Linked DNA regions of Rattus norvegicus. The protein of the gene in region 1 interacts with the protein of each later gene in a pairwise test. Links are inferred from orthologs where the notes say so. Each region holds a gene or a part of one and is shown on either strand. Other genes may lie near its edges. The genes, in order: Lrrc7 and Nqo2.

Evidence for each region.
Region 2: the proteins of Lrrc7 (region 1) and Nqo2 interact in a two-hybrid assay, tested with the Homo sapiens proteins (2 studies listed by BioGRID). The two-hybrid records come from large-scale screens. The link is inferred for Rattus norvegicus from reciprocal best matches to the Homo sapiens genes LRRC7 and NQO2.

The regions. Positions count from the first base shown.
Region 1 is NC_086020.1:249,804,927-249,808,021, forward strand, and holds the end of Lrrc7 (leucine-rich repeat-containing protein 7), read right to left. Parts: intron 2,203-3,095; coding exon 2,095-2,202; 3' UTR 522-2,094; downstream 1-521.
Region 2 is NC_086035.1:31,140,760-31,145,350, forward strand, and holds the start of Nqo2 (ribosyldihydronicotinamide dehydrogenase [quinone]), read right to left. Parts: upstream 2,904-4,591; 5' UTR 2,882-2,903; intron 2,812-2,881; exon of another isoform or gene 370-2,811; intron 1-369. UniProt on the Homo sapiens protein: The enzyme apparently serves as a quinone reductase in connection with conjugation reactions of hydroquinones involved in detoxification pathways as well as in biosynthetic processes such as the vitamin K-dependent gamma-carboxylation of glutamate residues in prothrombin synthesis.

The DNA.
Region 1 (3,095 bases):
GTCAAAGCAAGGTCCCAGGCAATGTTATCCATCAAAGAGGGGGATCTATCCTTTCAGCTGAAGGCCTCAGGAGCATTTGATGCTCTAACACAAGAACTCTTCCAGGGAGCCCTCCATCTGGCTGCCTTGCACCTCTCCTGTAGAAGGCCGTGTAGCCCTGATGGCTGCTTTCTGAGTGTTTCAAACTTTCACACTGCTCTGAGCTTGGCTTGCTTCTCTTGGCGGAGGCTAAGCCTAGAACATCCGCCATAGTAATGTGCTGTGAGTTTTTGACCCAGAAAATTAGGCTTTGAAAGACACTTCTCATTAGAAGCTCTCAATATATTAAAATGCACAGAATAGTCGCTTCTGTGTAAAAGGCCAATCTAGAATCAGCAGCTAATTGTCCAGGTCTATAAGACTATGTATGGTATTGTGTCATCCTGGCATAAAAATCAACACCAGAGCTAGTGTATTGTTTGGAAAATGAAGTAACATTTTTCTCCAAGTGACAAATTCTATGCCAAAAGAAACCACTGTACTTCTAATAAGTGACACTCATTTTAATAGATCCTACAAAAATACAATATTTTCAATGTCCCCATAAAACAAACTTACAAATATTATCCTCAGAGCTCTGGTGACATCCACGTGTGATTTTACTGTAAAATTCTATAGAATATTTAAACACTACCATACGAGATAAATTTATTGTATAAAAAAAGTGATGTAGATATTTCAGGGAATGTATACAACCAATTATGGAAAGCTGATCTGAAATTTTTAAATTAATATTCTAATCAAATTAATGACTAATATAAAAAGAAATACTTTAAAGGATTATAAAACAAATTTTGAATTTTGACACAGGGAAACAGAGTGCAAAAAGCACATTAACTAGGCTGTTTTCACTCTCTAGTATAATTGAATTCATGTTTATGTTCCTTAAAACTTTTCATTTGGAGAGAAAAAAAACAATTTGTCTATTTCTGTCCACAAAACAAAACAGGAATTAAGATTAATGATATCAGTAGACCACAGCTCTGAGAAATCATATCTGAAGTTTCATATTTCAATACCAAAGTTTTGAAACCACCGTAGCTTTCTGACAAGTCTTTCTCTATAATAAACGTTATCAATTCCCAAAATTCATTTAAAATGATTTAAAAGTGTAGCAAATTAAATAAATCGGCACACAGAGAAGTTCCACATTTACAGTAAAGGGATCACAGGGGCCACAGTTTATAGTAAACATAACCCCGAGAAAACAGAACATTAAAGCATTAAGCCTTCCCCGCCACCCATCACTCACTGCTTGTGGATTTGGTGAAGAGGCCAGTCCGCAGTAGCCTGTGGTCTGTCTCTGAAGTCTGCTCGTGTCCTCTAAATTAGCTAAAGGCCTTGAACAGATTTACCTTCTCCGGTTTTTACTCAGGTCCCAGAGATTAATGGATAATTATGAATCATTCCACTCTACCGTGGGAATTTAGCAAATGGCTGTGGAACCAAATATAAATCCTTTATACTTTATGTACAGTTGCTTCCATAAGGCGTAATCATGTAATTTTTTTATTGAAAAAGATTCAATATAGTAAAGTCTTATTTTTAAGATATATTTTCTTTCTCGGTCCAAGATGTTTACGAAAATATCGTTTTTCTATATTCTTTTTTTGTTTATATGCCAACATATACCTTGTGCTAGAAATACTTTATGGGGTTACAACTCTTTATATACAATTTTTTTTGAGGCAGTATCTCTGATGGAGAGCATAACTTGTAAAGAGCTTGTGTGTGCTTCCGTGCTCCGAAATGATAGGAAATCCACTTTGAGAAGACAACTTATTTGATTTTAAAAAAACAAAAACAAAAACAAAAACAGAAACAAAACCGCACCAATGCACAGCCAGAGGCTGCCGCTGGAACTGATACAGAACCGCGCAAACGCCGTGATTATAAGTAACATTTTCCAGGGTGGTCAAGGCTAACGTACAATATTATACACCTGGCACTGATGTTTGCCATTGGTCCAGCAACTGGCAAAATTTGTTTCTATGTATAAATTTATTTTTAAACATTATCTCTGGCCTGACATATCTTCACTATTTATAAAAACATTTAGACAGTGAGCTCACGTTGAATAACTAGGTCTACTGTGTTCTGGAAGCTCTTCAGTAGTAAAACAGCTTTTTCGTGTTCCATATGCACAAAACTGTGTCCATTTGCCTGAAAACACAGGAATAAAACAGGTCAGTCCATGCAAACCGTTTATCCCCTCTGCACCATTGTGATTACAGGACTCCAAGGAGCACAGCAACAAGATTCTTAAGATTCAGAGTGAAATGGCTTTGACAAGTATTTATCACACACCCAGTATTTCTTTGTTTGTGTGTGATCATAGTGTCCTACTGAGTAGGATCAGTCAGGTGGACTTACGACACAGCAGTTCAGTTTTACTGTGTTGTTCTTTGTTTTGTCATTGGGGTTTTGCTGTGCTAGAGATAGAACTCAGGTCCTGGTACATTCTGGGCAAGCACTCTGCAAGAGAGCCATGCCCCAGCCTCGTCTGTACACGTACCTAGTTGAGGCAGCACTTAGTTGACATTATTACTGGCACCAACTCACCAGTATATCTTTAAATTATTATTTTTATTTTCATGTATGTGTATGTGTCTGTGAATGCTGGTCATATATACGTGGGAGCCTGTGGAGACCAGAAGAGGGCATTGGACCCCTGGAAATGGTGTTACAGGTGGTTATGGGCTGCTTGGCATGGGTGCCAGGAACCACACTCAGGTCCTTTGTAAGAGAAGCGTGGCTTTTACCCACTGAGCTGTCTCTCTAGCTCCACGTTAGATATTTTAATCATGCCAAGTGTAAGTGAACACTTATGGCACTGTTTAATCTTATTTTGACCTACTAAAAATAGTTGATTTATATATTCTTTAAATTAAAATGATCTATTACTAAATGCTACTATTGTTTCCAATATCTGCACTTTTTTTAAATTAAACACAGTTCAGTGAATCCATGTCTTAGGAATAAAGCAGCAGCATTAGTCACAGAGAAAGCCTGCAATACTCTAGCTAAGGGTCATCAAGCAAGTCATCAAAATTCAT
Region 2 (4,591 bases), on another chromosome or scaffold:
GATATGCAGGATAATCTGATATATAAATGACTCTGGTGAAAGGGTCCTTTGACCTCAGAGGGGTTGTGGCCCACAGGTTGAGAAGCACTGCTCTAGAGTCACAGGGTGGCCCAGAAAGTAAGAAAGATGGCACGCACACACTTGGCTATAATGTAATGTGATTCTAGGAGACCTTGGGTGGATTTAGCATGTGCAAGCAAGCCCTAGGGTTGGCCAGCACACCTCCCTTCAGTAAAAGGTTTTTGGATAAAATGTGCTTCCTAATGGGCTTCAAACACGAGGAGGCTGTCTTAGGGTTTTACTGCTGTGAACAGACACTACGACCAATGCAAGTCTTATAAGGACAACATGTAATTGGGGCTGGCTTACAGGTTCAGAGGTTCAGTCCATTATCATCAAGGTGGGAATGTGGCAGCATCCAGGCAGGTGCGGTGCAGGCAGAAATGAGAGTTTTACATCTTCTTCCAGTGGCAAACAGGAAAAGACTGGCTTTCTGGCAGCTAGGATGAAGGTCTTAAAGCCCACGCCCTCAGCGACACACCTACTCCAATAAGGCCATACCTCCTAATGGTGCCATGCCCTGGGTCATGCATATACAAACCATCACAGAGGCTCATATATGTCATTACTGTCTTGGCTAGCCATCTCCAGACAGCTTTCTAGAGGCAGGATGTGTTGGTTCGAATGAGAAATGCACCCTCATAATCTCTGGTATTTGAACATTCAGTTCCCATTTGGTGATGCTGTTTGGAGAGATTATGGGGACATACAGCCTCACCGGAGGAAGCATATCACTAGGAGCAGGATTTGAGATTATATGGCCGTACCCCACTTCCCATTCCCTCTCTCTGCTTCCTGCTTGTGATTAAAGGGGAACTCTGGGATCCCTGCTCCTGTCATCATGGCTGCTGCTAGCTGCCATGCTTCCTCGCCTTGGTAGACTCTTATCCCTCTGAAACCATAAGTCAAAATAGACTCTTCTACAAGTCACTTTTGGCCACTGTTTCATCACAGCAACAGAAAAGTAACTAAGATACAATATCTCCTGCTATTGGCAGGAAAAAAAAGCCACAACCAAAACTCAGATAAACATCAACCATGAAAAACCAAACAATCCAATTCATATTTTTCTCCAAAGTTATACAGATGAGCCTAATAAGCACATGAAAAGGCACATTGATCACTAGAGAAATATAGCTAAAATGAAACTAGGTTCTGATGTTGTTGGGCTACTTGAGACACAAGATTTTGACACAGTTCTGTTTGTTTACTCATTAAGTCTAGGGGAAAGCTTAGAAAAGGTCAAACAAAGTTCAAAGTTCTGCCCTTGGTTAGTGATGCATGTTGACAGAGCAGATCAAAAGTTTCCCTAGCAGAGTACTAATCAGAGGACTTTCTCATATCTCAGTCACTAAACATTATGTAGATGCCACAAATCCACATTTCCTCTCTCTGTTCCATTGCAGAAAGGTTGTCTAAACAGAGAGAGTAAATGGTGATATTGAGCTAGCCATTCAAAAACCTGGAGCAAGAGAGAAGTCCAGGAGAGTAAGCTGGCAGGTAGTCGGGTAAAGACCCCATGGGAACTGATCTGGAAGAGGTCAAGAAACAGCAAGAAAAGTTATTTTGCTGGCCTCTGGTTTGAAGTGAGTGGCCAGTGCTACAGCCAGGGATCTGGGTCGGGGAATGAGGACTGATAAAGATTTTATGCAGCGAGTAACAGAAAACCTTAGGCAGATAGCACCAAGGTTGTTACATCTTTTCAAAGATTCCCAGGGCCACGGCAGGTGAGCAAAACACATCCTGAGATTCCCGAAGTGGACCCAGGACTTTGACAGCAGTGCCATTAGGTGTACTTTACAGTCTTCTACCTCCTCATGCCTCACCACCCCATCTGTGCTACTCAGCCCAGTTTACACATTTGTATCATTACATTGAGTGGCTGGCTGGGTGCATCAGGGTTGAAATTTCCTCTTACTCAACTCTCCCAGCATAAGAAATGGGAACATAGAGACAATCTCCTGATACAGGCTCTTCACTCTCAGATACTCTCCTTAGTTAGAAATTGCAAGTTACCCAGGGTTTTGTTTGTTTTGTTTGGGGCGGAGGGGTGGTTGTTAGCCTACAAGCCACGTGAAATGAGCCATATGATATTTAGAGATAAGCATAATTTTGTCTTAACCTCCAGTAGTTATTTTGATATTTTCACTGTATCATTTTCCATGCCTCTTTCTACACACGTGGGCTCTATTGTGGTCATTCTAACCGCTTATATGTTATCCCATATTGACATCATTGCCTGCCTGATGCACTGTGCTCACTTAGGTTATCTTTACCCAGAGTGCGCTAGCTCGCCCCCATCCCTACCCCTGGAAGCATTTACGATTCACAAAAGTTCAGTCTTCTGTATCTTTCTGACTGAGATTTCCGGAAATTACGGGTTACAGAAACCGATAGTTTTACATTAAGGTTATAGAAGCTGATATTTCTTTTGGGCCAGAGTTCTTGAAGGCAGAGTGAACCGCTGTTGCTTCAGGTTCCAGGGTAAGGGAAGGCACCCTGTACAAACTTTGCTCTCGGCTCATTTTTATTTTTACCCCTTGGTAAAAAATATGCAGTGACCCACAACTGTTCAGTATACAGAAGTGGGCTGACAAAATGCAACTATTAACGTTAATCAAGACCTGGACTCAATGTGGACGCGCCTGCTGATACTTAAAGAAAGCCTCGAGGTGCCAGGAACCTTGGGAACACGGGTCCACAGTTTAATACGCAAGCTAAAAACCGGAAGGGACCTCTTTAGTCCTGCATTTCCCCCACCCCCAAAGTTGCCTGCAGGAAGGGCGCGCATGCCCCAGGGAAGCAGTGAACAGACTCTCACCTCTGCCTCCTGGAGGGAACACTGCACACAAACGCGACACAGCCACTGTCAAGGGCAGGAATGCCTATAGCGTGCCGGCAGGCACTGCGGCTGCGCACGGGGGCCCAGGGCCACTCCCCACCCGGCCCCGCCCTCACACTGACCTTTGGCCGTTTGTGGGCAACAGCCCGCCCACAACTCCCTTTAGGGCCTGTCAGTGCAGAATCATTGGACTTCAATCTTCCCTCCTCTCCAGTCTCCTTGCAGTTCCTGCCCCATGGTTGTGGGCAAAACCAGTTTCGCTCCTTGCATCTGGCCAGAAGCCTGTGCTGGGAGATAGGTAGTGGCGCCTTTCTGCCTTGTACCTTATCCTTCACAGGCACTAATATATCCAGGCAAAACAGCACGAAAAGCCCCACAGTGTACTACTGGGCAATCAAAAAAGAAATGAGTTGTGAATACATCCGGCTTCAAACTTCAGGGAATTTCCCAGAGTAAGAGCATCCAATCCCGAAAGGTTATGCATTTCATGATTCTGTTTCCTGAAAGAGCAAATTACAGGAACAGGGAATCAGAGTAGTGGTTGCAAAGATTTAAGAATTAAAAAACAATATTTGTGTTGAGGGATGCATTCGTTGCCTGTCCTATCAGCATCACACCACAGTAAGACACTTTTGCCAGATGTCATCACTGGAGGAAACAGTGGAACGGACATATAGGCCAAAACAAAATAGTTAATTAAAACAAAATGTTGCAAGACCTAGGACCTCCCTTAAAAGCTGGAAAGTCTTGGGGCCAGTGCTGTATGTAGTTGGAGAGCTGGGGAAAGGAGCTGGTAGGAATTTTAGGTGAAAAATTGTGTGTGTGTGTGTGTGTGTGTGTGTGTGTGTGTGTGTGTGTGTGTTTGCTGTTGGCTTTCTGGCTTTCTATCCACAGGGACATCTTACCAATGTAAGGAATGGTGGTGTGCTGATCTCTCTGCTGCCATTTTCTTATATTAAGAGGTGGAATATGGCATTTTTACTGCACTCCTCAGCAGGGTCAGAGCTGCCGGTGAGTCCTGACCTGGAGATAGTCTACATTTAGTAGTAGAGCTGCAGGCATACGTGCCCCAGCACCTGTGGGATCATGTATGGGTGGAGTACAACTGCGTCTGTGAGTAAAAGAACTCACAGACGCACTCTAGGTAAGCTGCTTTCCACTGGGGACTAGAAGCAGAATGGTTTCCGTTGGTGTTTATAATGGTGTAAGTTGAGTAGAAGTTGAGAGTTCACTAGGAACACAATCTTAAGAGCTTTCCACCAGTCTGGGATTGTTTCAGTTACAGCAAACAAATAAGACCAACATTGAATGTTGAGTTTCAGCTGTGGGTCATGCTCTCAAAATGAGCTGCACCGATAATAAACATTGCCTCAAGGGATTTCCAGTTAATCATTTATGTCACTTTAATGTTGCAGAAATGGGCAAGTGGAATTAGGAATATCAGGCAAGGAGGCAGGAAAGCCTATCCTCAACTCCTCACCTCATATGTTTTGTTTCAGAATAAAATAGAACTCTGTATGGCTCCTTTAAAGATGACAACACTAATCAGACTGCCTCTGAAATGTTTGCACAGCTCCAAACAAAAACTTTTCCGTTCAGTTTGGATCTTGAATGTCCCCAGAAGTCCATGTGCTGATGAGGGCTTGTATCTGGGCCCTGACACTTTTGGAAGGTGGTGGAAGCTGTAGA